Astyanax mexicanus: one gene and its partners. The protein of the gene in region 2 interacts with the protein of the main gene of each other region in a pairwise test. Links are inferred from orthologs where the notes say so. Each region holds a gene or a part of one and is shown on either strand. Other genes may lie near its edges.

The links.
Region 1: the proteins of epidermal growth factor receptor (region 2) and pim1 interact in a protein complementation assay, tested with the Homo sapiens proteins (3 studies listed by BioGRID and IntAct, with this or other methods). The link is inferred for Astyanax mexicanus from reciprocal best matches to the Homo sapiens genes EGFR and PIM1.
Region 3: the proteins of epidermal growth factor receptor (region 2) and stip1 interact in binary tests that used the Homo sapiens proteins (3 or more experiments, as listed by UniProt). The link is inferred for Astyanax mexicanus from reciprocal best matches to the Homo sapiens genes EGFR and STIP1.
Region 4: the proteins of epidermal growth factor receptor (region 2) and pdgfra interact in binary tests that used the Homo sapiens proteins (3 or more experiments, as listed by UniProt). The link is inferred for Astyanax mexicanus from reciprocal best matches to the Homo sapiens genes EGFR and PDGFRA.

Annotation. Positions count from the first base shown.
Region 1 is NC_064419.1:2,570,815-2,578,853, forward strand, and holds the start of pim1 (serine/threonine-protein kinase pim-1), read right to left. Parts: upstream 3,629-8,039; 5' UTR 3,353-3,628; coding exon 3,277-3,352; intron 3,019-3,276; coding exon 2,912-3,018; intron 2,672-2,911; coding exon 2,621-2,671; intron 2,519-2,620; coding exon 2,149-2,518; intron 1,037-2,148; coding exon 860-1,036; intron 751-859; coding exon 560-750; 3' UTR 1-559. UniProt on the Homo sapiens protein: Proto-oncogene with serine/threonine kinase activity involved in cell survival and cell proliferation and thus providing a selective advantage in tumorigenesis.
Region 2 is NC_064413.1:1,351,652-1,359,474, reverse strand, and holds the start of epidermal growth factor receptor, read right to left. Parts: upstream 3,684-7,823; 5' UTR 3,524-3,683; coding exon 3,448-3,523; intron 1-3,447. UniProt on the Homo sapiens protein: Receptor tyrosine kinase binding ligands of the EGF family and activating several signaling cascades to convert extracellular cues into appropriate cellular responses.
Region 3 is NC_064408.1:21,487,598-21,495,634, reverse strand, and holds the start of stip1 (stress-induced-phosphoprotein 1), read right to left. Parts: upstream 3,331-8,037; 5' UTR 3,255-3,330; coding exon 3,246-3,254; intron 75-3,245; coding exon 1-74. UniProt on the Homo sapiens protein: Acts as a co-chaperone for HSP90AA1. Mediates the association of the molecular chaperones HSPA8/HSC70 and HSP90.
Region 4 is NC_064408.1:64,427,423-64,435,343, forward strand, and holds the start of pdgfra (platelet-derived growth factor receptor alpha), read right to left. Parts: upstream 3,667-7,921; 5' UTR 3,397-3,666; intron 961-3,396; 5' UTR 938-960; coding exon 880-937; intron 1-879. UniProt on the Homo sapiens protein: Tyrosine-protein kinase that acts as a cell-surface receptor for PDGFA, PDGFB and PDGFC and plays an essential role in the regulation of embryonic development, cell proliferation, survival and chemotaxis.

The DNA of each region.
Region 1 (8,039 bases), on a different chromosome or scaffold from region 2:
TCAGTCTGTTCACAGGTGTGCCTTTTCTCATCTTCTTCTTCTTGATCACCACCATCATCATCATCACCATCACCATCACCATCATCACAACAAGCACTGACTGCTTCAAGTTTGCAGATCCGACTCGTGGCCGGACAATCACAATCAGCTCGCCCCCTTTTGGGTCCTAACACCCCCTTCCCTGAAAAGTGGTTCATTCCAGGTTTCAGGTTCCTACTGGACCAGACCAGACTGGACCAGACCATCATCTCGACAGGGGTCCTGGGCTTCCTGACTATCTCTCTCTCTTTCTCTTAATTAAGAGATAGGACGAGAGACGAGACGAGACAAGACTACAAGTCTCTTCTCTGAGATCAATCAATCAATTAATCAATCAGACCCATCCCACCATCCCACCAATCAGCAGCTAGCTTCCTTCGCTTAAAAACCCCAAACATTTCACATTTCAAAAATGTTTAAAAAGTTTCCCGCACCAGAGTGCATTCAGTTCAGTGAGGAGCAGCCGCCAGGCTAACTGATGTAGTAGTGTGTTCTAGTGAAAGTCTTTCGCACGAGAGAGTCATTTGCACACCGCGACGGTGGTGAAGGCCGTGGACTCGTGGCTCAGACTGTGCAGGCGAATCTCTGCTCCGTCCGCGGGGGGCGCGTTCGTGCTGGAGCTCTGCATCCAAGGGTGGTTGACGAGGTCTTCGAAGGACGGGCGGTCGGCGGGACGCAGAGCCAGACACCACTTAATGAGCTGCTGGCATTCTGTAAATATTTAATAAGAGAGAAATGATCAGACATATTTATATATATATTTTGTTTATATTTTATTTATATTTACTTATATATTTACTCATATAATAATAAGTCTTACCAGTCGAGATCCTGCGCCTGAAGAGCACCTGGCCGCGGACGATCTCCTCGTCTTGCTCGAAGGGGATGTCTCCGCAGACCATGTCGTACAGCAGGATTCCCAGAGACCACACCGTGGCTGACCTTCCGTGGTACCGATGGTATTTGATCCACTCTGGAGGACTGTAAACGCGTGTACCTATACAAAAAAATATATAAAGAAAAAAAGACATTAAAAATCTATATCACAAAAACACAAAGTCTGTAAAAACACATATATTTCACTTATATTTGAAGAAAAAAAAAATAGAGATGAATAAACAATATCATTTATATATATAAAAAAAAAAAAAAAAAAATATATATATATATATATATATATATATATATATATATATATATATATATATATATATATATATATATATATATTATATTATATATTAGAAAAAGAAAATGCACAGGTGCTTAAGGAAGAGCTGTAATATATGGCATATATGTTTACAAAATATGGGCAGGCAGCAAGTTGTTCAGGTTAATCTGTGCAGTCATGTGCTCCGTAGCATGACAGTAGGTGGGTGTGTGTGTGTGAGAGAGTGTGTAAGCGTGTGTGTGTGTAGACCGGTTGCCATGTGACTTGTGTTTACAAACTTTGAGTTGTAGCACTACCGCTTGTAGCCACAAGGGGCGCTGCGGAATCACAACAAAAGAGCTCCTGCGCCTTTTTTTCAAGGCAAGGCAACACAACCCAGCACATTAATAATAAGGGCAGGTTTGTTGTGTGTCAATTCTTCCCATGAAAACGTGAAACATGAAAACAAACGCGTGAGAGTTGATTTTTTATTTTTTTTTGTATTGATATAGATCGCTCCAGTACGTCACGTGCATGCGTGTGATGGTCAGGTTTTTTTTTTCCCCCTGTTGTTGTAAATAATAATAATAAAAAAAGAAGATGAATGCTATACTATACATACACTATATATATATTATCAAGCTGGGATTAAGACGAGGGCGGGGGAAAAAAAATTAAAAAGGGTTCTACGGTCTTAAGCTTGAAGGTCAAAGGCTTTAAAGATACAAACTGATACAAATGTAAAGGGGATCTTTTTTATTTTGTTTAATCTTTTCTCAACAAATCTTTCGTTTTACGCCAAAGCAAGCTGCAAGATTGGGTGGGAAAAGGTAGAATAGGTAAAACTAGTACAGTAGCCTAGTAGGGTAGGTTATAGTAAGGTAGGTTAAAGGGTCTTGCCTTCCATTTTTTATTTTCTTGATCATTTACAGAAACATACAGGAGGCAATGGCTCTTACCGTCAAAGTCGGTGTACACCGTGTCCTTGAGAAGAGCTCCGGACCCAAAGTCGATCAGCTTGAGCTCTCCACTACGCAGGTCAATCAGAATGTTCTCGTCCTTGATGTCTCGGTGAACGACGCCGCTGTTGTGGCAGTGCCTGACCGCCTCGAGCACTTGGCGGAAAAAGCTGCGTGCAAGCTCCTCGGGCAGAGCTCCCTTTTCCGTGATAAAGTCGAAGAGGTCTTTCGCGTTTTCCGGCCTTTCCATCACGATGATGAAGCTGTCGGGGCGCTCGTACCAGTCCAGCATCTTGATCACACCTCTGAAACCGGTGCTGACCTTCTTCAGAAGGACGATTTCCATTGGTACACGAGCTCCTGTGATGGGCTGTGGAAGATTCAAGAGATTATAATAGAGATTAGACATCATATAAATAGGTATATAGATAATTATATAAATAATTATTGGATAATATTATTAGTAGCTTACCAATTCTCCCCATTCGGTCACACGATCCTTCGCCACATGCTTGATAGCAACCTGTAATATATATAAAAAAATTTAAATAAACATAAATTATAAGAAACATTATAGACACCCATCCATGCACAGCTATGGATAATATGGATAATAATAATAATAATAATAATAATAATAATAATAAAAAATCAAAACAAAAGCCTTAAGCGAATTATTTCAGTTCACACCCACCCAAACAAACCGAATTATTTAACATATTCAACAAAAAATAAAAAATAAACAAACAAAAAAAAAACCTACCGGCGCGCCATCGGCTATCCGCAAGCCAGCGTACACCGTGCCGAATCCGCCGCTTCCCAACACGGATCCGACCTGGTAAACCTTCTCAAACGGCTCCTTCTCCTTCACTGCAATTCGAACAAATGCAAGAAATATGTTAAAAGATGTGAAACAAGCTAAAATGTCTATATTTCCTATGTTTTATTTAAAGATTTAGGTGATTAAACACCAAAAAGTTATAATCCATTCCTGGATTTTGCTCCGACCGCCTGGGCGGCTCTGCTGCAGCAGCGCTGCAGCAGAGCCGCCCAGGCGGTCGGAGCAAAATCCCGGGACGGATATTCAGCTCAAAACCCACAACATAAGGAAAATATCCGTCTTCTAACCTGGATGAAGCTGAATTTTTGCAGGCATATCCACGGCAGAGATGTGAGCGAACGAGTTGAGCTTGGACAGAAGCATTTCTTTCCTTCCTTGAGCTTGTTTTACTTGAATAATCCGTGAGAAGAAGTTTAATCCGTTCCGCGTTTAAAATCCAAGCCTTTCTTGTGGAAGCCAAAAGAGCACGACAAAAACGAGCTTCTCATCCAGATTAAAGCTCTGAAGTGCGGCTCAAAACGAAGAATAACCCCAGAAAAGAGTCATCAAGTTGGTATAAAAACAAACACAAGCGCTGAAGAGCTGGAAAACTGTGAAATCGTTGTCCCGGGCGCGCTACTCACAATAAACACGCCGGCTTTCTGAATCGTAAAGGCGGGGCAGGACCGCTTATATACCCGTAGTAGCGGAGCGCGTGCGTCACGGCTCGCTCCTCCCCTTTCCCGGGCTCGTCCAATCGCTAAACGTCAACGGCACGTCTGTCAAGTATGAAAATGAAGCTTGGCTGGCCGACGTGGCGGGAAACAAAACGCGCCAAATGTTCACGAACCGGCATATAGGGGGAGGGTAGGATAAAAGAGAGGGAGGAAAGAAAGAAAGAAAGAAAGAAAGAAAGAAAGAAAGAAAGAAAGAAAGAAAGAGGGAGGGGGCAATAAGTTCATATAGCAGCTTTTGTTTTGTTTTTTTTCTCTCTTTCTCAGAATGAGGGCCAGTTTCGCCAAAGTTGCAGACATCTGCTCCTTTCCAGTAGGGGAACGAGGACCTTCTCACCTTCTAAGAACCTCGTGGACACTTTGGACGCAAACGATTCAGTGTTGGACCTGATATGCATAAAAAAATTAAATAAAAAATAATAAATAAAATGTTTATTTTTTTTTTTTTATTTGAAGGTGTTTAGAGTGAATTTGGTAGATTTTATGTTTTTTATTTTATTTGAAAGAAACAAACTAAGAAAATGTCTAATTTAAAACCAAAACTGGGAAATATTGAGTCTTAGTCAAAACCAAGACAGACAGACAGACAGACAGACATATATATAGATACCTTACTGATCCCAGAAGGAAATTCTAAACATACAGTAGCAAATATACATAGCACACATATATTACAAATGAAGGGTAGGATATAAAAGTACGATAAAATATACAGAATAAACTGGAATATATTGAGTCTGAGTCAAGACCAAGACTGGGACATATTGAGTCTGAGTCTGTGTCAAGTCTATGTCAAGAACAAAACTGTGACATATTGATTCCGAGTCGAGTCTAAGCCAAGACTAAGACTTGGACTTACTAAGTCTGAGTCAAGTTTCTAAAATTTTATTTTGAGTTTACGTAATTGCTTATAATATATATATATATATATATATACTTAAATGATAAAAGTAAACAAGGAATGTTTTTATCATGTTAATTTTAATTCTAAGTGTTTTTAGACTTTGCTTTAAAGTTGTTAAATAGTACTTATTGTATAAATTGTCTGCACGCTCCTTTTTACCCTATAGTCTATAAAACAAATGCAGTCGTTTTTTATTTATTTATTTTTTTTTTAGGTCCTGTTTCATTGTTTTATGCACTTTGGCTCCTCCCATTTACACTAAAGTTGTGTGGGAGGAGTGAATCATTAATATGGGTAAACAATGCCGTTTGTCTGATGTTGACACAAAATGTACAATTACGAAACCTTGGGTAAAAAAAAAAAAAAACAAAGAACAAAACAAACAAAAGAAACAGCCTTAGACAATGTTATGGCTCACATCAATTCTCCAACCTGAGTCATTTACCTCCACTCCATTGTTTTTAAGTTAAAGTTTTGTGTATCAGGGGAGATAAAAGAAAGTGGGGGTGGGGGGTGGGATTTGGGTTCTGAGTCAATGAAGATCTTCACCAAACAAAACCTCATTAATCTCAAATTAGTGCTCTGAAGGTTTATTCCCTCTTGGCGAGCCGCATGCTTTATTTAGCCGGGGAACAATGGCGGTCACGGCACCGAGGCAGCAGGGAAAACGGGCACATACCAGGCATTCTTTCAGATTGGGTGGCCGCGTTCAGACTCGGTGGCAGGATGTGGGAAACTGGAGATAAAAAGACATCCATTTACCCCCGCCGCCACCTCCCTCCCCCTGACTACCCCCACCCCGCACTTGTGTTTTCCCGCGCTTATTATTGTTTGAATGGTTAATGCACTCTGTGCCCTCTACCTCGCTGCCCCCGGTCTCCCCCGGTCTCCCCCGGTCTCCCCCGCCCCTTTATCCAGCTCTCAGCTTGTGTCCTCCCCCTAATAGAGGGGGCTACTTTTTCTTAAAGGGGAAATTCCACCAGTTCTTCAATGGAAGTCACTCCATAGTTAACGCTGGAATGTGGAGAAAGGTGTTCAGAGTGGGGTCAGTGGGTTTCGCTTCCCAGAATATCGCTGCTGTCCAATGAAAAACAAGTATCTCCATTTTTGTAGATTTTTAGTTCGCTACACAATTTGAACAGACAAACTGTCCCTAAAACTGTGCCAAAATGTATTGATGAACGGACCAATAGAAATACTTGACCTAAAAAAAATGACCTAAATGAAATAAAGAAGTTGCTATTTTGGAGAAACTTGGTTTTAATTGGACAGCAATGATATATATTCATATATTAAACTATATTGGGCAAATGTTTTGAAACACTCATTACTGTAAAGAAAAAAAAAGATTTTTTTTTTTAAAGTCATTACTCTGTACGTAAAAGTATATTTTGGATACTTAGATAAATTGAAGTATCAACTCAAGCTTTTTACTCTTTAAGTAAAAGAATAAAAGTACTGGTTTCAGTTTTATAGTTACATTTATTTCCAAAACACTCTAATGTAAGGCTTAGCTTTGGGGAAAAAAACATGAGTTTACTTTAAAATGATGAGTTTCCAAAATCAGTGTGTAAGACTGGTGGAGAAGAAAACATGCCAAGATACAAAAAAAAAAAACTGTGATTGAAAACCAGGGTTTTTACACCAAATCTTTGCATTATTTGAGGTCTGAAATCTCTGCTTTTTTTTTTTTTTTAGTTTTTAGTCATTTCAGCCGTTTCTCATTTTCTGCAAATAAATTCTCTAAATGACATTAAATATTTGTATTTTTGGAGGAATTTGGGTGAAATGTTCTCTATTGTATAGATTTTACTCAAATGTATACCTATAAATAAGTCTCTTAATTTTAAACAAATTTCAGCATTTGCATACTTACACACAGCACATTCACACTTTCATTATAATAACTATAGAGAAATTACAGATGAAGCCAGAGAGAGGTGATCACTGTTTCCTACACCTTTAAATGAAGAATCTGGGAGGAAACTGGAGAAAAAACACTGCAGGAAGAGTCACGTCTGGCTGACCCACATGGCTACAGCAGCTTTATTTAGCCTTTAGCTCAGATTAAGATGATTAAGGACTAGAGTTGGTCTGACAGGTGAAGAAGTGCAGTAATAAAGTCATTGCTGTGTTTGTATGCTGAGAATGATACCCGTGGTGGTTCTGTGAGTTCCTGACCGTTACAGAACCGGGTGAAATGAGGATAGTGAAGGATGCAGAGAACAGCGCTCTCCTGCTCAGCAGAACACAGAGCAGAATTAGTCAGAAACACTGTGTGAATCTGGACCTGTGATTCTCCCCTGTGGAGAGAGTGTGTGTACGTCTGGCACGACGCTCTCATCCGTGAGTCAGTGCAGTCAAACTGAACAAAAACAGGATGCTGAGAGAGATCCAAAAACAGATCATTACTCAGCAGCGCGGCTCAGCCCGAGCTCGCTATGAATCATTCAGACCCGCGCTTCATCTGAGCTGTTGCCATTTTTGAGGTGAGCGAATTCAAAGCGAATGAAAAAAACCCAGATAAAAAGACTCAACAGTGCAGCTGGGCATCTGGAGGGGAGCGTGGGGCGTGCTGAAATCAGCTTTACGTGAATTATCCAGGGACTATTCTATAAAGGTTTTTCATTTATAGGTTTATGTTTGAGTAAAATAAACATTCTATAAACATTTCTCCCAAGCCCCCCCCCCCCAAAAAAAAATTGTCATTAAGAGCATTTATTTGCACTAAAAATGAGAAATTGCTCAAATAACAACAACAACAAAAAAAAAAAGATGCAGAGCTTTCGGACCTCAAAAAATGCAAAAAAAAAAAAAGTTCATAATTATATGAAGTTTTAAGAATTCAGAAATCAATATTTGGTGGAAAAACCCTGATTTTTATCACAGTTTTTTTTGTAATGCATCTTGGCATCATGTTCTCCTCCTCCACCAGTCTTACACACTGCTTTTGGATAACTTTATGCTGCTTTACTCCTGGCGCAAAAAAATCAAGCAGTTCAGTTCAGTTTGGTGGTTTGATGGTTTGTGATCATCCATCTTCCTCTTGATTATATTCCAGAGGTTTTCAATATACAATAACAATACAATATACAATACAACTTTTTTTGTACACAATTTGTACACTTGATTTAGATTTTTTTTTCAGTTATAGACTGGAACTGAAGAGCTTAAATGGTAAAAAAAGAAGAGAAAAAATGGGGATGTTGTAAAACTTGTATTTTTTTAGTAATGTATGTTTGAATACTTTGTTATTGACACAACAAATACAAAATCAGTTAAAAAAACACACAATTGAGACATAAAAAATAAAGATTTAAGTCTAATTAACTCAAGGAATTACCCTAAATTACATATAAATTACTGCTGACCAGCAAGCCTCCTATTTGTGCTTTTGGGCTGCAACTAATGATTGCAACTGATTATTTTGGTA
Region 2 (7,823 bases):
TTTTAAGTTTAATTTAAAGGACATACTGCATTGCCTGATCTCAGAATATCCGAGTTTTGTAAAGTTACTGTAGCTTTAACTCAGAGAGACCTGTTGTATTTCACAAAGAACAAGAAAAAGAGGATTTTAGCGGAAAGAGATCTTTAAGAAAAACTGAAAGAAGGAAAGAAAACACTAAAAAATCTGAACACTAAAAGCCTTGCCCTTTAAAAAAATTCTGAGAAACCTGCTGCACATACTTTATAAAATTCTTTCAGTCTCACTCAGCCGTCTGCTTCCTCAGAACTGAAACTAGCCCTGTCATAATGACTATTTTAAGTGGACAAATCAGAAATTTTACTGACGTAATGATAATCAAATAGCATAACTAAGCAGAATGACTTTTAAAAATCGGCTTGAAATACTATACGGGTTGAACAATGAAACTGAAACACCTGGTTTTAGAGCACAATAATTGATTGTGGTGACGGACAGTTCTGGTGGAAACAGGAGAGTTGAGGTGCACATTGAATTCTGCGTGATTTGATCAGCCGTAGTTTTATGTTTTTTGGATACAATCCGGGTTATCACCCGAACATCCCTTTCAGACAGCTTCCTCTTACAGCATCCACAGTTAATCCTGTTGGATGTGGTTGGTTCTTCTTGGTGGTGTGCTGACGTTACCCTGGATACCGTGGCTCTTGATGCATCACAAAGTCTTGCTGTCTTGGTCACAGATGCTCCAGCAAGACGTGCACCAACAATTTGTCCTCTTTTGAACTCTGGTATGTCTCCCATAATGTTGTGTGCATTGCAATATTTAGAGCAGAACTGTGCTCTTACCCTGATAACTGAACCTTCACACTCTGCTCTTACTGGTGCAACGTGCAATTAATGAAGATTGAACACCAGGCTGCTCCAATTTAGCCATGAAACCTAAAATCCCGCACTAAAATGATGACAGGTGTTTCAGTTTCATTGTATAACCCCTGTAGATAAGCTGTATTATAGATGAGCAATGGCTGCAACTTCAGGTAGCTAAACAAATCCATTAGACTAATGGGCTTGTGACATCATGGGCCCTGCATTGTTTAATATCGCGATATATATTGTTCAAAATTATATTGTGCAGCCCTAGTATGTTCTTCACCCAGTAAATCAACTAAAATAAGCTATTTAATATTTAATATTGATATAAAGAACAATGGCGACAACATCTTTTCTGGGTTTAGTGAGAAAAGTAACAGCAGACAAACTCAAACCTGTTTCAGGGATTTAGCAGAAGAGATTGTGATGATTCTGCGTTACTGACCTCATTGATTGCACAAGAAAAAAAAAACAAAAGAACTGCTTTTGTACTAAAATAATAAGAGACTGTCAGAGTCGGGGCTTGACTCTACTTGTCTCGGTGCTCATTCTTAATAATGGTGAAATTCTGGCCCAGCTAAATATATTCCAGTAATCCAGATATCTGGGGTCATTTTCTCATACAAAAATAATGAAATAATCTCAGTAAACTTTTAGTCCAACATAACCAAAATCTGGGTCTGGTTTAGTTAAAATTTACTAGTTTTAACTTTATTCCTTAATAACAGCAATATATTACCGCTAATTCTTACTTTCTTTTTTCTTTTATCGCTATTTATTTATTTATTTATCTTTGTATATTTTTGGGAAGTAGAGGTGCGTAAATTGGTTTAAGCTGTATTTTTTAGAACTGAGCTTGATTGCTAACAGTATAAATGTCCAGGATTCCTCCATAATCAAAATAGGATTTCCTATTAAAAAAATGTTTATATAGCATAAAGCTCTGGAAAAAAAATAAGCGAGCTCTTAAAAATGATGAGTTTCTTTGATTTTCCCAAATTAAAAACCTCCAGAATATAATCAAGAGGAAGATGGATGATCACAAACCATCAAACCACCAAACTGAACTGCTTTTAAAAATAATTTTGCACCAGGAGTAAAGCAGCATAAAGTTATTAAAAAGCAGTGTGTAAGACTGGTGGAGGAGAACATGATGCCAAGAAAAAAAAACTGTGATTAAAAACCAGAGTTTTTCCACCAAATATTGATTTCTGAACTCTTAAAACTTTATAAATATTACATTTTTTCTTTATATAATTTGAGGTCTGAAACCTCAAATGTTGTCTGTAGTTTATAGAATAAAACAACAATGTTCATTTTACTCAAACATAAACCTATAAATAGCAAAATCAGAGAAACTGATTCAGAAACTGAAGTCCTCTCTTCATTTTTTACAGAGCTGTATATCTATGCCAACACCTTATTTCAGTATAAATGACTGGAAATAAATGAAGCTGGAAATGCGTAGCTATGTCTTATCTCTTCTATCTGTCACCCATCAGCACCACCTACCCCATTCAACCCCCCCCCCCCCCCCTTACCTCTGGTTTGCTTGTCTCTCTGTACCGGTTTAGTTTAAAGTATGTACAGCCATAGGTGTGTGTGTGTGTGTGTGTATATACATGTATATTATGGTTGTCAACATTAACACGTTAACGCATACAGGTAATCTGGAAACTTTAACACATTCCTTCTCTCTCTCTCTCTCTCTCTCTCTCTCTTTTTTAATGTAGAATATGGAGCTACATTAGTGTTTATTTTCTCCATTTCAACTCTCACAGTTAAACTCTGTAACTCAGAACATTACACTTTCTAGTTTAAAAAGCATAAAAAATTCCCTTAGATAATACAGTAAAACTACCCTGAGATATTATAATACCGTAAATAATAAGATCTAGTCTGCCACTTTATAACATTATTTCTTTTCCCCTCTTAAAAATACAGTTAAGTACCAGCATTTTAAAAAAAGGTAATCACAATTTTATCTGTGATTTATCCATTTTTAAGGGATTGGCACCAATAATACAAAAGTAAATGTGTCTAACATTTGAATCTTTTACTCGCAATTAAATACCCATTGTCTAAACTTAAGGAAGAAATTTAAGTGTGATTAACTGTGATTAATCACATTTTTTATCAAAATGACAGGGGATTAAATTATGGCCACATCCTGGACAATTATACTGTTAGTTATTGTAATAGCTGTAGATGATTTTCTTTGATTTTACCAAATTAAAAAAAAGAGGAAGATGGATGATCACAAGCCATCAAACCACCAAACTGAACTGCTTGAATTTTTACACCAGGAGTAAAGCAGCATAAAGTTATCCAAAAGCAGTGTGTAAGACTGGTGGAGGAGAACATGATGCCAAGATGCCAGATTTCCAGACCCATTTTTAAATGACATTTTTTCCCTTTTTGTTTAAGGACAGAGTGTACGCAGGCGCGTGCACAGGATATTATCATAACCATCAGCTGGAGCGCGCGCTCCTCGTCTTGTCAGCGCTTGCCTAAAACATAAAAAAGTGGATTTTTGCTGGCTGTTCTCGCGCTCAGGAGAAATAAAACTCTACATTTAATGAAGTAATTAAGTGAACTCACCTTTTCTCTCAGGTGCAGCGGAGCACGCGAGGCTTAACACGGCCAGGTAGAGGAGTCCTGCAGCGGCAGGTGACATTTTAATCAGGTAACTGCGTGTTTATCTGGAGGTGTCCTGAGCGCGTGCTTGGGGTGGTACTCCAGCAGGGCGCGCGCAGGGCGTTTGGAGGCGGCGCGCGGGATCAGCACTGCTCTACTGGTCAGGGCTGTTGTACGGGGCAGATGTGACGTGTGCCGCTCCAGAGGTGTAATCTGCGGGTTACTACAGCGCATGCGCAATAACAAACTGTCACTGTCCAATGAAAAACAAGTATCTCTATTTTTGTTGATTTTTAGTTTACTACAATATTTAAACAGATAGTCTCTAACACTGTGTCAAAATTTATTGATAAAAGAACCAGTAGAAATACTTAAAAATAACCTAAAATAAAAAATATTTAGAAAATTTAAAGTTGCTGTTTTTTAGATACTTGTTTTTCATTGGACAATGACGAAATACTCATGGAAAAGAGAAAATAGAGCAATGTAATTACTGACAGCTCCAAAACTTTAGAATAATCTTTCACTTTTTATAAAGAACTCAATCACAGTGGATATTTTTAACCTTCCTTTTATGTTCTGGGCAAATGAAATGTATTTGTTTTTATCTTTTTTTAGTACCTGCATGGGAACACCACTGCTGTTCACATTTGTTGATACGTTTGAAATAATTTTATAACATTTTGTTTTGTTTTCCTATTTTAAAACGGTATTGAAGGATGGAGAATAAACATGGCTATTCCTCTGCCAGAGACTATTTAAATCACCTTAAAATTCTAAAAAAAAAGTGTCTGGGACACTGTTTAATATGTATACTATACACTGAGAGTACCATTACATTATACCAAACAATAGATAATCTGTTTGTAAAGTGTAGAAAACACAAAATTAACAAAAATGAATTATATTTGATCTGTTTATCCTTTAAAATCAGTCATATCACACCTGGGCCATGTGCTAGTGGAGTGTGGAGAGTGACCTCTAGTGGTCGCTGGAGGAACAGCACACTCGAGGACGGTGTAGATAGATAGATAGATAGATAGATAGATAGATAGATAGATAGATAGATAGATAGATAGATAGATAAATAGATAGATAGATAGATAGATAGATAGATAGATAGATAGATAGATAGATAGATAACAAATTCATATTCATAAAGATTTAAGAGTTCAGAAATCAATATTTGGTGGAATAATCCTGGTTTTTAATCACAGTTTTTTTTTTTCGTGCATCTTGGCATCATGTTCTCCTCCACCAGTCTTACACACTGCTTTTGGATAACTTTATGCTGCTTTACTCCTGGTGCAAAAATTCAAGCAGTTCAGTTTGGTGGTTTGATGGTTTGTGATCATCATCCATCTTCCTCTTGATTATATTCCGCAGGTTTTTAATTTGGTAAAATCAAAGAAACTCATCATTTTTAAGTGTAGCCATCATGTTTTAAGCTACACATCAAGAGATAATTGTTGCCTCCCTTCAAGATAATGACTCCGCCTACTGCTTACATAATAAACAGTGCACACAAAGAACCACAGATCTCAGGAACCATTAGACCCAACTTAGACCTGAGTTCAGTGACTCACGCTCATCATCAGTCTGCTGCACGTTTACTGCAGGTTATGAAGCCAGGCAACCACCCTGCATTAATACAGAGCCGTAAAAGACATGTGGTTTCCAGGACGCTGATTAAGTCGAGTCAATAAAAGAGGAATTTTGATGAAACACTGGTTCAGGTCAGGATTAAAACATATTTTTTCCCAGAAAATGTTCCTGCTGCATTAGTTAGTTAGTGCAGCATTCATGCAGAAGAACATGGCTATCTTCTAAACAATAATAGAGTATTGGTATCAGACCCGTATCAACAGGGCAAGCAAACCAATCAATTGCCTATATAGGGCCCTGAGCTGACCTTTAGAATTTTTGTGTATTTTATTGCTAATTTCAAATTTTTATCTAATCTTCTTCCCAATTTACAAGGCCAATTACCCAAGAAGACCAGCACACGCCTCCTGCGACACATGTGAAGTCAGACTCCGCCTCTTTTTGAACTGCTGCTGATGCTGTAGCATTGCCGAGTAGCATCACAGCAGCTCTAACGCTGGGAATAAAGGGCAGCGACTCGGTTCTGATACATCAGCTCACAGACGCAGCCTTGTGCTGATCCACATCACCCTAGGAGTGATGAGGGTTAAAGAAAGAGCGCCATCTACTGTGAAAAACAGAATATGTTTTATTTAGTTAGATTGTTATTATTGGTAAAAAAAATAAAAAAAAAACACCCCCAAATCCTCCCCTGTTCCACCAATGACTGACTGCCCCTCATGCTGAACAGTATGACTCTCAGCAGGAAGTGCTGCTAGTTTAGTGGGTTTTAGTGGGTGTTGGGTCTTTAGGGAGTGCTAACTTTTAGCCTTAGCTTTTAATAATTGCTAAATTAAGCAGTTTTCCAATTGTATTAAATGGTATTTTATAGTTAGTTTAATTAGGCAGTTCTAGTACATACTGCTTTACTGCATTCAGAGTGTAAAAATATACAGATCTAAATATAACAAAGACAGAAGAGTTTAACATTGCGTATTTAACTCAATATGAGTTCAGTGATATTTAATTGATATGTTTTTTAAAATGCTCTAGTAAATATACATGTGGAAGCCGATTCCCTCTTAATATTAACTTTATAGGAGAGAGAAAAAACCTTCTTAACTTTTAATAGAAGTCAATGTAAAAAGAGTTTATTTCAGGTCATTTAGAAGAGTTTCTATTGGTTCGTTCATCAAGAAATTTTAGCACAGTGTAAGAGACAGTTTTGCTGTTCAAATTATGTAGTAAACAAAAAATCGACAAAAATTGAGATAAGTGTTTTTTACACTGGACAGCGAAGAAATATAAGCTGTGATTGGTCCAGTCAGAAATACAGTGTGTCACGTTTTTTCATCAACATCTAAAGATGTATTAATAAAGTACTGATATTAAATAAAGAATAAAGGATAAAGAATCGCTCACATGTAAATGAAGTAAAGCTGATTGGCTGTGAGAGAACTAGAGTGGGTATATGCAGGTCTTTTTTAAGACTAAGAATAGTCTGCAGCTGGTAGAATAATTTTAGATGGTTGGACAGTCCCCACCGCCCCAGGCAAGGTTACAACCCTTCAGGCAGGATCATCTTCCTCTGGTTGCTAAGAGATTTAATCCGACTATAGTAACTATAGAATCTGTTCTCTTATCTCTGTTGATCGATTGATGTAGTACTGAAAAGTATTTCTGTTAATAGCAATGATGCGCGACAGTATAGACAGTGTAGACTAATAGTCACTGGAGTATTTATATACTCCTTCAACTTTTTTACATTTTGTCTCAACCACAAACTTAAATGTGTTTTATTGAGATTTTAGAAAGTGGTGCATAATTGCGAAATTGGGGGAACAAAATTAAACGAAACACCCATGGTCACTCTGGAGGAGCTGCAGAGATCCACAGCTCATGTACAGATCAGGAGAATCTGCAGGAGAACTATAAGTTGTGCACTCCTCAAATCTGGCCTTTATGAAAGAGTTGTTGAACATTGTTGAAAGAAAGACGAAGTAAGAAGTGCCGTTTGCAGTTTGTAGCCACAAGCCATGTAGACGAACACAGCAAACATGTGGAAGAAGGTTCTGTGGTCAGATCAGACCAAAAAAAAAAGGTTTAAGGCTTTTTGGACTAAATGCAAAGCGCGGAAAACGAACACTGCTCACCATCCCCACTGTGAAACATGGTGGTGGCAGCATCATGCTGTGGAGATAAGCTTTTCTTCAGCAGGGACAGAAAAGATAGTCATAGTACAGGGCAATCCTTGAGTCCTTATTTTGCTATTTATAGGTTTATGTTTGAGTAAAATTAACATTGTTGTTTTATTTTATAAACTACGGCCAACATTTCTCCTGGCTGAGGGGCTGAAATAACAAATAAAAGATGCAGAGCTTTCAGACCTCAAATAATGCAAACAAAGCAACAAGTTCATATTCATAAAGTTTTAAGAGTTCAGTGGTTTTTAAACACAGTTTTGTTTATGCATCTTGCAATTATATTATTCTCCTCCACCAGTCTTACACACTGCTTTTGGATAACTTTATGCTGCTTTACTCCTGGTGCAAAAATTCATTCAAGCAGTTCAGTTTGGTGGTTTGATGGCTTGTGGTGATCATCCATCTTCCTCTTGATTATATTCCAGAGCTTTTATGATTTTTTTTTCCAGAGCTATATATATATATATAATTTGGGAAAGCACCAGTTTATTTGCATGGGCTGGCAGGGATTTACATCATAGCAGCTACATGCACGTCTTAAAATGTCAAAGT
Region 3 (8,037 bases), on a different chromosome or scaffold from region 2:
GTGTAGCAACGAACGGCTTCATCAATGTTTCCAGCGCTCAGCGCCTTATTGCCCTGGTCTTTTAGCTGAGATACCTGGGAGGGAAAAAGAGCATAGTAATGGGTAAACCTTTTAAAAAACATTCAATTCTATACTTTATTAGGACACTGACTGATTTGATTAAGTGATTAACTGCCCAGATTCTTACTTAAAAGATAAGAACTTTCAGTACTGCTTAGAGATGGTTTAAAAACAGAATGAGAAACAGAAAAGAAATAAAAAAACAGCAGAATTTAAGTATTAGGGCAACAGAAACACACAGCTTGTCCCGCACTCAACCAGAACTCCATGTACATTACAACATGAAGCAGGTGGAAGATGCTGAGACTCTTTTGCACTGCAATTTAAACAGGCCAGCCACTAGAAGTATCTGCCCGTAGACCTTACAGTGCTTGACCCACTATTTTTTTTTTTTAAAGACACACTTAACATTTACATTAATGGCATTTGGCTTATATTACAGCATGTTATGTGACCAATGACTCATGGCAAGGCAAGGTGTGTTGGCATAATTATTTGTGCACACACGGCTTATTTTTTCCTTGTAGAAAAGTACAGCCAATAGAATAGAAGTCTCTAGAGAAGAAACATGAACCTACTGGCACCATGCCTTATATCAGGCACGGGCAAGAGGGGTATAAAGCATCCCTCCATTAAACTGTGATTTCTGGAATCATGATGCTCAATCCTGTAATTTTGGATGACCTCCTTAACCAAACAAGTATTGTCAATAAATGGCAATTAAAAGACAATTACTCTTACAAAGTCAGAAAAAACTCTTTAATACTCTTGATTTTGAAACAGCAATGGATGGAAAGTGTCCCAGTACTTCTGTCCACACAGTTTCTTTTTATTTGTGACATTTCAGGTATTCATATATACACTCATTCTTATGTAACTAAGAAGAGCTACCTACGAGTGAGAGAGAGAACAACTCACTTAGCACAACAGTGGTTAGATAATAAAGCATCGCCCAACTTTACACACAAAAAAGCTCTTCTTCACACTAATGGTTTATAGGGTAAGCTGCAGCACCACATCATCTCAGAACTGCGCATCAGGTACAGATTTAAGATTGTAGATCATACAATGTGTAAAGGTAACTTTTAATCTTCATAGATTTTAGATCTTCATAGAAAAGCTAAAATGGGTAAGTCTGGAGCAGCATGCCATCACTATACCACCAGATTACAAATAGCAAACATTGTCCACAAGAGTATAAACCCCAGGCATTGGGCTGTGGATCAGCAGAACAGCATTCTACATTTGAGAAGAGTTACAGCAGTGTTTGGGACCCAGACCTACTAAATCACACATAATGAGCTGACCACACTAATACTTTTGTGGCTGAATGCAATCCAATCCTCACAGGAATGTGATCTACTGCACAATCTAAGTAAAGGCTTCTGCTGCAACAAATAGTGAAAAAATTCTTATTAATACCACTGATTTTCAAATGCTTACTGGTGGTGGTCAAAAATCAGAGTGGTCAGAGTCAGCTGCCACACCACACAGACCTGCTCTTAGCTAAGTGTCACAAATGTCACTGACAGACAACCACTGACAGCAGTCACAGCAGCTGATCTACAGGCTGGAGAGTAACACCTACAGTCTTCACAACTCATGACAAAGACTTGTCTATGTGGTTAAAGACTAATAATACTACATACGCTCAAACTGTTCTTACTATTCTTAAAACCTTACAACACTGATACCAGACTGCTCAACACTAAGGATGTGTCCCAACTACATACTAATAATACTATAAAAATATATATATCTTGGGCTATACATTGTTTTGACATTCCTTATTTAAAAAATATGAGTTTGTATTAGCACTTAATATGCAATTGGGATAAAAATATTGCCCATACAAGGACACTACTAACTATAACAAAATCTTCATACTCAAAAACTAGTTACTAGTGCCTAGTATTAGGGATGAACAATTGTATCAACTTTACATTGGTTTCAGTCATTTCCTCTTCTTTTTTCCCTTTTTTTAGAGGATCGATATCATATATCTTGCTATCTGACATTCTCAGGACAGAAACAAATCAAGAGGCGAAAAAGCAGAAGGTGGAGAAGCTAACCAACACCAGCAGAAGACATGGCTGTCCAAACCATCACTGATTGTGGAAACTTCACACTAGACCTCTGGCAGCTTGGACTGTGTGTCTCTCCACTTCTCCTCCAGACTCTGATCCCTTGATTTCCAAATTAAATGCTTAATTTACTGATGGGTCAGTGATGGTTTGGAGAGCCATGTCATCTGCTGGTGCTGGTCTTACATAACTCATGCTTCCCTCTGCTGACAGCTTTTATGGAGATGCGGATTTCATTTTCCAGCAGGACTTGGCACAGTAACTATATTGCTATGTGTTGCTAGTAAAGAAATAAATTATACCCTGTGTAAACTATCTGACATCGTCAGGACAGAAACAAATCAAGTGGAGGAAAAGTAGAAGGTGGAGAATTTAAACAGATAAAGTTAATTAATCAGCTAAACCTGGACTTCTGGTCAACTTCGTTTAGAAAAGTTAACAAGACTAGCAGGAATTAAGTGTTTTATCCACAGAAAACCATATAAAACGACTCTGTTTAGAGCTATACATTTATTATAGATATAGTTAGCTATGTTATATCAGAGCAACAGGGGACATTTATAAACTGTCGCAGTGCTTATGCACCTAACCTAGCTTACAGCTTCATCTCTGCAAAGCCTCCCCCGGCTAAGCTAAGCTAGGCTAAGCTAGGCACTTACAGCTAGCCTAGCGAACTAAGCTAATTGCTTAGTTACGCTGCTAATACGAGTCAGACAGCTGCGTTAACGAAACAACAGTGCCATAAAAATGAGCTACAGCACTGCCAAACATAAACTAGAGGAATAACTCCAATAACTGGCTTTTATTTTATTAGTCATGCTCATAAACTTAGCACCGGAGCTAACAATGAGCACCGCTGCAGCAGCGCCTGTCACACAGCAGCTAGCTTAGCTAATATTACCGCTAGCTCACCGGCTAATGTTAACTGCCGCTAACGAACTTAGCTGGGGTTTAACTGGCCAGCCCACTCACACCACGACACAATCCCCCCTCAGCTAACTGCAGAAACACGCAGTAAGTATATGCTGTTCCCCACAGAATATATATCTCCTATTTTCTCAGCAGGAATATAATTAATTCCCAGGCTGAAGTGGTACTTACTTTCTCCATGGTGTAACCATGAGGTTCCAGAAACTACTGTGAGACGACAGTGGAGACGCGCCGCCCACCGCTCAATATGACTATACCCCAGCATCTGGGTTGCCATGTCGCACTGAAATATCCCTCCGTGACTCACATATGTTGCATAATTGTCTGTTTTAAACAGACATGTATAATAATAAAACAAGTACAAGTGCTCTATTTAAAAGGTGACTTGATTAGAAGTTAAAGTGTTTTTAAGCTCCACACTTAGAAGTAGAAGTGCTAACTAGGGGTGGGCAATATTATATCCAAATACAATATATTGTGACACAGAAATATCATGATATTAAAAATCCATATCGTGATAATAGGGATGTTCTGTCTTAAAAGTAGTCCATTATTTACTGTGAAGCTTTAAGTGAATGTATTGTTTAATTGTTTTAGTTTGCAGTTTATATGCATGCACTAAATATTCTGCAATTTTTTTTGCTGCATTATATTATTTTATGCTATGTTATTTATTTTGCCACATTATGATTATACTGTTAAACTATTATAGTATATTCCTGAAATTAACGAATTATTTCTGTTTTCCTATATCGGCAAGTATATCGTTATCGCAAAAATACCCTGAAATATCGTGATATTATTTTAGAGCCATATCGCCCACCTAGTGCTAACCCCCCAACTGGCACACAACCGACCTTCAGCGTTGAAATGTGGTTGAAATATGGTTGAAATATGATAGAAGTACTGTCTGTTGTTATTGTTTCAGTGTTGAAATCAGGTTTAATATGGTCGAAATATGGTTTAAAAAATATCTGTTTAAAATATCTATAAAATTTTAACTTTCAATCAACATAATGTCCTCAACCTTCTGCCTTTTGAATTAGTATTTTACATTGAATCACTATACAATTGAAAAAAATGTTTGGATGGAAGGATGAAAAAATGGTTTCAAATTCTGGGCCCTGTACACTCTCAATGTCAGTGGGCCCCTATCCATGCCAGTACACGTGAAAAAAAAAATCTGGATTATCATGGGCCCCTCTCACTACTCTGGCCTTGGGTAGTCAGCAATACAAATAAAATTGTTAATTTCATCATGGCATACAGTTTTTTTCCCTCTTCCATACAATTTTAAGCATCCCGAATATGAGCTAAGTTTTATTAAAGGTTGAACGTTCGACGTTGAAATAACATTGCCATATCAACATTTATTCACTTTTTAAAATAAACACCAAATCCAACGTTGGTTGAAGCATAACACCAACGTTAATTCAATGTTGATATGCCATCATTTATGTACTTAAGTACTACCCAAGTAATGAAATTAAAAGTACAGTACTGTGTTACATATTTATTACATAAAGCAGTGGAAAGTTTGCAGAGTGAAAGGTAGAACAGGATTTGTAATGATTCATGGCTATTGGTTTATACTTAATCCATTGCAGCTGCACATCACGCCACACTTGAGCGAAATGTCCCAACTAAGCTTCTTTAATATATTTACATTGTACTAAAATACGTTCATTTTCAATGGACACCTGAGAAATGAGTGGATACTTTAAAATGTGGATACTTTTGATTCTTTTGTATTTAAAAGCTGAATAACACAAACAAGCAGTGTTTCTGATATGTGCAATGAACAGAACATACATATATTAAACTTATTTACACCTACACTTCATTAATGATTTGCTTTTTATATTGTACACTTAGTTAATGTACACAGAAAGCTCCACAATTTCTCTTTAATCAACGGTCGTGTTATTTCACCTGCAAATCTGGCAACCCGCTATACATGGGAAAGCGAAACGCCGGGTTCGCGCATTGTGACTTTTCTCATCGCTTTAGATTCATCCTCTCGCTGATTGGTTGTTTCGCTCAGCGCGGTTTGGTTTAGAGCAATCAGAGGACAGTGCGCTGGAGCTGGGAGGAGAAATGTGACGGGAAAAAGCGGCAGAAATATTCTAGCGAGTTCTGGAAAGTTCATTGGTTCATATTCGAGGCTGTACATAAATAACTCCAGCTGCTGCAGGGTTGTTGTGCTCTGGAGACACACAGAATCTACCAGCACTTTCTCAAGACTCATTAACAAATTATTACAACCATAGAGGAAAGCTACTCTTTAAAATACTTTTTCTGCATTTATTACAGTTATTACAGTGTTCTTTTGTCATGTTCACGGTGCTGCCTAGTTAAGATAAAATGAGATTAAACAACACAGTTTTATACTTTATTTTCTTAGTTTTGAAGATTAAAAAAAATACTTTAGACTTTTCTTCAGTTATTTCAGTTTTCATAAAACCATATCAAGCTTGGAATAAATCCTCCTTTAAGAACCCGTGACATCAGTCACTTTACATGTTTTCAACAAATGTCAATTTTTGCTAAAATTGTCCTCCTAGTCATTGTCCACTTTGTCCACCTGTGACAGGTATAATGAAAAATGATTAGGCTGGGACAATATGATTTCCGTGTAGTCTGATGTCTACTATTTATACATATGATACATAGTAAAAAAAAAGGATTTAAAATGTCAACTGATTTATAAGTATTGATAGTAATAGAAGTAGTAATAGTAAGCGGTAGTTGTAGTAATAACATTAATAGTTGTAGTTTAAAGTAGTTTTAAAGTAGCAGTATTGATAGTAATAGTGGCAGTAGTTGTGAACATAGTGAGAGTAATAGAAATAGTAGTAATAGCCATAGCAGTGGTTGCAGTAAAACAGTAGCAATAGTAATAGTAGTACTTACATAGTAGTATTAGTAGCAGTAGTAGTAGAAGTAGTAGTAATAGGAGCAGTTGTAGCAAAACTGGTAAAAGTAGTACTAACAGTAGTAGGATGTGTTAGTAACATTACTAATAGCATTAGCAGTAACAGTAGTTACAGTATTAGTTACTAGGAGATAACCTAAATGGTTAATAATATTAGTAATTATAGTAATATTAGTGGAAGTAGTGGTAATCATAGTATGAAGTATTACTAACATTTTTAACAGTATTAGCAGTAACAGTAATCACAGTAGTAGCATTAGTAGTAACAGTATTAATAGTAATAAACTAATTAGCTCTATCCTCACTTTAGTTGGGTACACTAACAGTAAACAGGAAGCTGTTCTATTGACTATATGTTGTTTCATAAACAACAGCCAGACAGGGATCAAGCTTAGCTATGGATTATATTTTCTTTTTAATGAAAAATGTTAATTCAGAGTTCTGTGTAGTCAAAGACTAGGCTTAATCCCTGTCCGGGAAACCAGCCATGAATGTCTGAAAGTACCCAGGCAGCCTTTTTTAATTACTTAATCCAACTACTTGCTACTTAGGTGCACTCAGTGCTGACATAAGATGTTAAAATGCACACACACACAGAATTTATATAGCCCTGACAACAGACTGGGATGCTCTGGAGCGGCACATGAGGCCTCCATACCACCAGGTCACAATCATCAGCTGAGGATCAACAGATAGACTGGGAGCAGTAGGTCTGAATATCTACAGGGTTGGAGCTCCATCCAATACCTTTGGGATTATTTGAAGCAATGTTTGTGATCCAGACCTAATGATCAAATGTAAATACCCCACTATACTCACTAATATCGATGTCCCGATCTTATCCAGGCATGTTTAAATGGATCAGGTATCAGCTATTTGAGTCCAAATCCAATTCTAAGTCTATGGTTTAACCACAGTGTTCATAGCAAGTAGTGGACAGTATCGCCCAGTCGACTGCACTGAGGAGAGTTCTCAGAAGGTAAATACAGTAAAGAGTTTAGTTAGTGTGGAACTAGTGTGCAGTGTGGAATTAACAGATATCAGTCCAGGGAGTATAAACCTGAATACACATAGATGTACACAAAAGTGACTTGACTGCAGTGTTTCAAAGGAACTGGGAGCTAAATGGTCAGGGAGTCTGGTCAGTCAGAAGTCTTATTAAATAAAATGTTACTAAAACAAAGTAAAAGTACTTCAGAATGATCTAAACTGCATGGCTGTTATTATTTATACAAACCCAAATCACATTGGATCATATAAACTGACACAGATAATTTGCAAAATAACCTGATCAGGACATCCCTACTCCCTGAGGCTGAAAGCATTCTAATATTCTTAGCAATGTTACAGCATCTAGTGTAGTCTGTTCCCTATTTGTACTCTCAGTTTCAGAAGAAATTATATGGTAAATGTGTCTATTAGGGACATACAGAAACAATAGATAGGTTGGTGTTGTTTGTGACACTGTTGTTTCCTGTTTTTTTTTTTATCACACAGTAAGCTGTGTTTAGTGTGTCTATGTATCAGGAGGTGACACTGGTGTTTTACTGTGGTATCAGTATGTCCTGTTTATCTCCTAGACATTCACAATCACTGTTCCAGCCCCACTGAAAGCCTGCCTCAGTATCTGTGGTGTCACTGATTGGTTTCTGAGCCAGACCCTGACACACGCACACACACACACCCACACAAACACACGAACGCACACACACACACACCTCACTGCAGCTGTTAGTCTGAGGAGGAGTTCTCATTCAAAAAGCTCTTCACCCAACGGCAGCAGCAGCAGCAGCAATAGCCTCCACTTAAAGAGGCAGCAATCAATACCCCTCCCTCTCTCTTTCTCTCCTCTCAATCTCAGATTATTGCTACATTTGCTCCCATACAAATTATTTATCTATCTATCTATCTATCTATCTATCTATCTATCTATCTATCTATCTATCTATCTATCTATCTATCTATCTATCTATCTATCTATCTGCATGTTTGTCTGTCTATCTATCTGCCTACATACCAACCTACCTG
Region 4 (7,921 bases), on a different chromosome or scaffold from region 2:
GCACACACACATTGATTAAGTGCTGTATCCGTCTAAGGCATTTAGACACTCTTTAATCATAAATATATATATATATATAATGAAAAAAAAGAAAAAAAGACTTTTTTTTCGTTCCTTTTTCTCTGTTCTTTACTTTTTCTTCCTTTGTTCTTTTTTATTTGTTAACAACTCCTTTTTAGTTGTTTTGTTCTTTTTTCGTTTTCAGATTTATTTACTATTTTTTTATTTTTGTGATCCAATCTTTATTTATTTCTCGCTTTCATAATTTCTATCTTTCTTTTTACTCTTTTCTCTGCAACATCAGGCTTTTTTCCAGACGTTTCCACCTTTCCTGTCTCCCTTCTCTACTTTTTCATTCATTAATTCTTCTCTCTAACTTTTTTCCATCTTTCTTTCACTCTTTCTTTCCTTATTTTCTTTCAGTTTCCTTCTCTTCTTTTTTGTATTGTTTTTTTTTTTGTATCTGCAAAGTTTTTTGAAAACTTTCTTTCTTTCTAACTTTCTTTCTTTCTTTCTTTCGTGCTTTCTTTTTTTATATTTTTATTTAGACTATTTACCTTTCTATCTCAATATATTTGTCTTTCTTTTCCCTCTCATTCTCCCTTTGTTACATTTCTTTCTTAATTCTGTTTTTTATTTTATTTTATTTACTGTTTTCTTTTCTTTCATCTCTTTTCTTTTTCGTTTCTTTTTGATTGTATTTTTCCTGTCTTGTTTTCTGTAATTAATTTATTTAATTGTTTATATCTTTTCTATTTATTATCTCCTTTGTTCGTTGTATTTTTATTATAATTTCATTATTTCTGTTTTTTTTCTTTCGTTCATTTTTTATTTCCTTTCTTTTCTTAATTATTATTTTTTTTTCTTTCACGCCCTTACCTTCCAGGACTCCTAGTAAGACAACCCCCAGAAGGAGATGTGTCTTCACAGTCCCCATGGTCACTCAGATCCAGTTCAGCTGGAATGAAAAGGGAAAGCTGAGTTATGCGTCTTGTAACTTTAGACCTGCTGATTGTTTATAAAGTAAAATGCTGCAAACGAAATCATTTTTCTGTGTGTTTTATGCTGAAGGCAGCTGAGCCTGTGTATCACATTCAGTCCGCTATGTTTTTATTAGCTGATCTCTTCACTCGGTTTGAGTAAAAGAGGGACTTCCCTCCGGTGTTAGATCAGCTCTAATAAAACCTGCACTGAATCGTCGGCTGGAAAGCGCGCTGCTGGACAGGCTCTATCCTCAGGTATGCCTGTAAAAACGTTGGTCGGCGCTGAATCAATACGAGGATGCCAATATTTCCTTTTCGGAAAGCGGAGCTGATCGTGGGATCGTGATCACAAGGGGGCGACAGAGTACGAGATTTAACAGAGCGGCCGACTCAGCGCAGATTGTCTGCAGACAGAGGGCTGGAGTTAAGAGAGTGACATAAAGCACTTTCAAATGTTTTTTTATTCTTAAGTTTTATTTTAATCGAATCTTAAAACGTGTTCACACTTGTGTTTAAAATTCCGTTTCCTCAGAGTTCAAGTTCCGAAGTTCCACAAATACGGTTCTTCAGAGTTTCTTCACTGTAAAGAGTTTTTTTCCACCATGAAGAGCCTGTTTGTTCCATGAAGCAGTTTACATGGCATGGAAATCCATTTTTGCAAAGGCTTTGAATCTTCCCAATTCCAAAGGTTTTCACGTCTTTCAATGCGTTCGTTTTTTGGTGGTCTCTATCTCTTCTCCATGACTTTATCTAAAGAAGCCTCTGCTTCTGCAGCTTCTGCAGGCGGACTTTTCTACAGTGTATGTGTGTGTGTAACGGGAGGCACGCGCGTTATCTGGCTCGCGTGTCCTAGAGAGCAGGAGCGCAGAGAGCTGATGTAAAGCACAGCTTCTTGTTTTTTTTCTTCATGAGTTGGTTATAGGATATTGGCTTTTAGTCTACAGCCTAGACTGCCGCTGTGTCTCATAGAGTAGATAGAGCAGCGATATCTAAGGCTATACGAGATGCACACATTAATTAATAAAAAATCACGTAGTGCTGTGTTTTCTAATGAAGTCAACTTCAAAGTTAGAGTAAAGTAGTAAAGAGACATGCAGGGGGCGCGGGGGGTCCACCTCCTGTTTTACTTTACTGCCTCCAGACGCCACTGTGCCGTTTGCTCGAGCTCTCCTGTGCGCGCGCGGACGGGGGGTAATCACCCCTGGCCAATTACCCCTGCAGAGACGGGCTGTAATTACGCGATTAGACGAGCCCTCTCCACACTACTGCAGCGTCTCGCGTGGGAATCCGAGAGTGTATCCAGTCTCCATACATTACACATACACGCACTCCTAACGTGAGTGTGCGCAATCAGCTCAGACACAGATAGACAACAGATAGACAGATGCGCTCGAGCGCTCCAAACGTTGCGGATGTGCCACCGTGGAGCAACAGCTGAGCGCGAGCAGGGGATCACAGCGTCATCCGTCCCGCTCCGGCCCCGTCCCACGCGCGCACAAATGGATTTCCATGGGAATGTTGTAGGGGGTAGGGTGGGCTGGAGTCCTGCAGCAGCCTTTTCTGACCAGCATCCAGAGTCGTCCAACTGTTGCAAAGAACTTTACACACGTTACGCACGCCCAGAGCGCGTGTTTTAACGCATAAAGTAACTCTGTAGGCCAGATGATGCACGCACTTATCCATACAGGTCAAAACAATAAACGCAGTAATCCAGATGCATGATATTCCATGTAGTCCTCAAAGAGGGTAGGAAAAGCAAGCAAGAATCCGCTGGAAATGTGTTTGTCATTAGTTTGGACTGCAGGCCATATGGCAAAGATACGAACAGCCGTGTAATTCGCGCTAAGTTGAGCAAGGTTTTGCGCGCAAATCAAACCAAAAAATAAAGGGTAAAGTTCCTTCCATCCCGCGCATCCAGGAGACAGACCGTGTTGGAGTCACTGCAGGGGAGTTAACCGCGCAAAAAATAGGCTGCTTAAATTTTGTGTAATGATGGGCTTTGGTCGAGGAAATGCTCAGTAATCCCTAGGGTCCTGTTTTTCTTAGTAATTAGCCTAATTAAAACTGTTCTGTCTGTGCTGCAAAGAAAAAAAAATAAAAAAAAAAGTAAAAAAAAGAAAAAAGAAGGAAAAAGTTCACAAAAAGGAAACAAAAAAGTGAAGAAAAAAGCTCCCAGCTTTCATTCTTCAAAAATGGGGAAGTTTTTCTACTAAAAAAAAAAAACAATACAAAAACAGCACACTAAAATAAACCCAAAATATAATATATGGTTAAAAAGCGACAAAATTTATGAAGCTTTTCTTTCTTACTAATTAGCCTAATTAGCCTTTAAACGTTTCTATCCTGTCTGCAGCTACAGTGCCTTGAAAAGAAACCAATTAGTCTCACTAAACCAATTTACCCACACAATACCTTTTCTCAAAATCCTTTTGTCGTTCCCACTTGACCATGGAAAGAAAAAAAAGAAGTTGAATAGCTCCAGTAAAGTAGTCCAAAGAGGGTCCTCAGTCGTCCAGCTCCACTCTTCTTTGTGAGTGTGTGTGTGTGTGTGTGTGTGTGTGTTTAGTGTCCTCTCAGAGTCTCCTGCACTCTGCGTTATTCCTCCGCTGTTCTCCTGACTGCTCCAGCAGCGCTGCGCTCTAACTCTGCCTCACTCTTACAGTCCCATCCTTCCCCAGCCAATAATCATCTGACTCTGAGTAAATAGCTCTGAGGAGGAGCCCCCTCCCTCCCGCAGGACTTTTCTCCAAAATAAAAGTCCTGTATTCACATCTGTCGCGCGTATGTTTTTTTCTTCTTCTGGAAGTCTGAGAGAGCGCCTTTTGTAGAACAGAACACACAGAAGTCAACTGAAAGAGAACACAGTAAAAGTGTAGGCAACACAAACATCAAAGATGCACTGTTTTATGTTCTATGTACATTGATTTTTAGATGTTTGAAGATTTTTTTTAATACAGTTTAAGAGACCCAACATGCATAATGGTTCCCCCAGGTTGAAAAGTGCGTTTGCTCGCAATCACTACCTGCATTAATAGCAATTATTATAACACATACGATTAAAAAAAATGCTGATATGAGATGGTTTGGTTTGATTCTATTTGGTGTATGGGGCTTTGCAGGGCTGTACAGAAATGAGTAACGAGAAACTCCGCAGTGTGAAAGTCTACACTCAACAGAGGGCGCTCTAACATCACAAACTGCCTCACTTTCATTATCCCTGTGTCTCAGCCTCTCTCTCTCTCTCTCTCTCTCTCTCTCTCTCCCTTTCTCTCTCTCACTCGACACCCTATTTCCTCCCTGTCTCTCCCTAAATGCACCCCATCCCTTTTCCCTCTCTCTCTTACCCCTTCTGTCCTCTTCTAATTTCTTCATTCTCACTCAGCCCTTTATTTATGATTCAAGATTCAAATTTATCCTGCCTCTTTCTCTCTCTCTCTCTCTCTTTCACTCGACACCCCATTTTCTCCCTATATGCACCCCATTCCTTTTCTCTCCCTCTCTTTTACCCATTTTAGCCTTTTCTAATTTTTTCATTTTCACTCAGTCCTTCATACAAGATTCAAGATTCATATTTATCCTGTCTCTCTCTCTCTCTCTCTCTCTCTCTCTCTCTCTCTCTCTCTCTCTCTCTCTCTCACTGGACACCCCATTTCCTCCCCGTCTCTCCCTATGCACCCAATTCCTTCTCTCTCTCTCTTTCTCTCTTTTACGCCTTCTGTCCTCTTCTAATTTCTTCTCTTCTTACTCAGTCCTTTATTCATGATTCAAGATTCAAATTTATCCCACCCCTCTCTCCCTCTCTCTCTCTCTCTCTCTCTCTCTCTCTCTCTCTCTCTCTCTCTCCAGTCTGGTTTAATAAACTGTCCTTAAAGAACTTACACTCTTCACATAATCTGATTCCTATGATAACACAGCCGCAGCTCGGCTGACTATTCTCTCAGCAGGATGACCTCTAAAGTTGTACAAGTTCCAAAGTCACCCCACACCCACTCAGCCCCACAACACTCCACTCCGCAGAGCCCACCTTTTTGCCTCATTGCCCAGCTGACTGACCCAGACCCCGGGGCCAGACTCAAGCACTCCCCCACCACCACCTCCCACGCTATCCCGCTCTGCCCCCCAGCCCCCCGTCTTTGGAGGAATCCGCCCCGCAGCGCCTCCTCGCTCGGCCCGCTCGTCCACAATGACTTCCACATGTTGCTTTGCAGCACGAGCGCGCAAAAAGAACAGAGTGCCTTGTTCTCCGGCACAAAGCAACCTAATCTCGGAGCCTCGATCTGCTCCACCATCCTCTCCACCTTGATCCCGGGGAGCAGCTTGGAGCAATTTGAACACACTGAAGTGAGCGGCGCTGCGGCCAGCAGCGGTTCTGCATGCTTAACTCGTCTGGCTCTGCTTTTATCTCTCTGAGAATTGCTCATTACATGCCTTTGTGAGCAAAATATTCAGAGCAACAGGCTCAGAAATAGACCATTATTATTAAACAGGTCTTGAGCTCAACCACTTACAAATACAGGTCGCATTAAGCGTTCTTTAAAGCAATGCCACAACCACATTTGGTGTCCCGAGGAACCCTTCAAAGGGTAGATATAAAAAAAAATGTTAAAACTGCTGTTGCAAATGACTTATATTATTTTTAGAGAGAAATGTACATTTCTGCATTTGAAAAAAACGTTTTTTAAAGATGTTGTGTGAGTATGACGAACCTTTTCAAAGAAGATACATCAGTTTAAAAACCTTATTAAAGAATACACACAGTACCAGTCGGTTTGGACACACCTTCTCATTCAATATTTTTCTTTATTTCTTTGTATAATGTATTTTCTAAACTTTAGATTAATATTAAAGACACATATGGAATGACGTAGTAAACCAAAAAAGTGTTTGTTCTCCACAATCCCCTGCCCTCCACAAAAACCATCGGAGCTTCACAGCGTGAAGGAAAAGCAACAACTATTGTTCAGCACCTCCAGAAACTCCTTCAAGATGCTGAGAAAACTATTCCAGGTGACTCTCCCTCATGAAGACACTGAGATTAAAATACCAAGAGTCTGCAGATCTGTCCTCAAAGATAAATGTGCTACTTAGAAGAATCGAAAGTTTAAAACATATTCTGATTTGTTTAACCTTTTAGTTTACAAAATAATTCCACATGTGTTCCTGTATGACTTTAATGCCTTCACTATTAAATTTGCAATGTAAAATTATTATAAATTAATGAGAACAGGTGTGTCCAAACTTTTGACTCGTACCCTATGTCTAAAAAACCTTTAGAAAGGATGCGTTGGTTCGATAAAAAGGATGTGTAAGAAATCTATAAAGAAGAAGTCTAAAAAACTTTTAAAGAAATACAAAGCTTTTATAAATGTTAGTCTAAATAACTTTTTGTTAGAGAAATTGACTTAGTTTAAGTAAACCCTTAAAAAAAATATAAGTCTAAAAACAACTTCTTAGAGATACTGTGCAAGCCTAAAGGACCATTTTAAATGAGCTGTAATGGTCTAAAAAAACATTTTAGGCAAGAAGCATTAGTTTGAAGTATTATTTTGTAGATGTATGAGTCTGAAGAATCTTTTTATAGATATAAATATTTTATAGATGTATCCTTAACATACTGCAAAACTTAAAACACATTGAGAACTAAGCCAAGAACCTTCAGAACTTTTGCATTCTATCATTTTTTTTATTTAGTCTCACAAAACAATGATCTAATTTCTCTAAACAATCTCTCTGAACATTCTCTCTGCCGGTGAAGAAGATCTTAACATTAAGATGCTTTGGGAAACTTGTCCTAAGAAACTGATTTTATTCCATGTCTGCAGCCTCACCTGTTTTGGGTCTCCAGTCTTAACTTCGTTGTTTGTTTTTCTTTCTCCTCACCAAGAGTTTTGCTGCTGAAATATTGTGTTTTATGTATGTTATGAACTGATCACATTGGGAGCCTGTGAGGGACAGCATTTAATGTAATTCAGCATGACTTACTGGAAGCGTCTGTTCACCTTTAACTAGGGAGGAATGTGGGCTATGGGACGAATGTGCATGCTGGAGGGGCCGTGGGGACTCCAGCTGTGGCATGCCAGCTTGTCTGGCTTCTGAATCTAGATTACACACACATACATTCACACACATACACATACACAAACCTGCACACAAAGTCTGTCATTGTTGGGTATTTAAAGGCTATAATACTGTAATTAAATGCTGTTTTACTTCCGTTATACTTAAACTTAAAATCATTTAAATAAAGAAAATGCAAAGCAGTTTTAATAAAACAACTTAATCTCAGTGGGACAGAAAGAAAGAAAGAAAGAAAGAAAAAAGAGGGGGGACAGAATAAATGAATAAAGAAGAAACAAAAAAGTAATAAAAATAGCATATATATATATATATATATATATATATATATATATATATATATATATATATATATATATATATATATATATATATATATATATATATATATATATATATATATATATATTTTAACACACTCTAGCTTATATATGAATTGTACATTCATTACACGATATTTACCAAAGATCAAAATTCAGAAAAGGGTCCCTTGCAAACTAACTAACATAAAAATGAACAGGTAGACAAATAAAACAAATGCTGAAGCTGCTAACTGCTAGGACTGATAATACACCTCATAGAACTGCCATTTTCTGAAAACACATGTTAATATCCTGTTAAATTGATCAAATATGCTTGTAAAACACTCTAAAAACAACTTAGACCATCTAATTTATTTAACTATTTATAACATAGCTGGAACACAGTTGACTAAAACAGCACACTTAATTTCTGCATTTATTCGATTCACAGCGCAACTAGGTGTATAAACATGGACTAGTATGGTATATTTAAACTAGTTTAAAGTGATTTTGGTGAGACAGAAACCATGACTTGCTTTCACGACTGCATCTCTGGTCTGA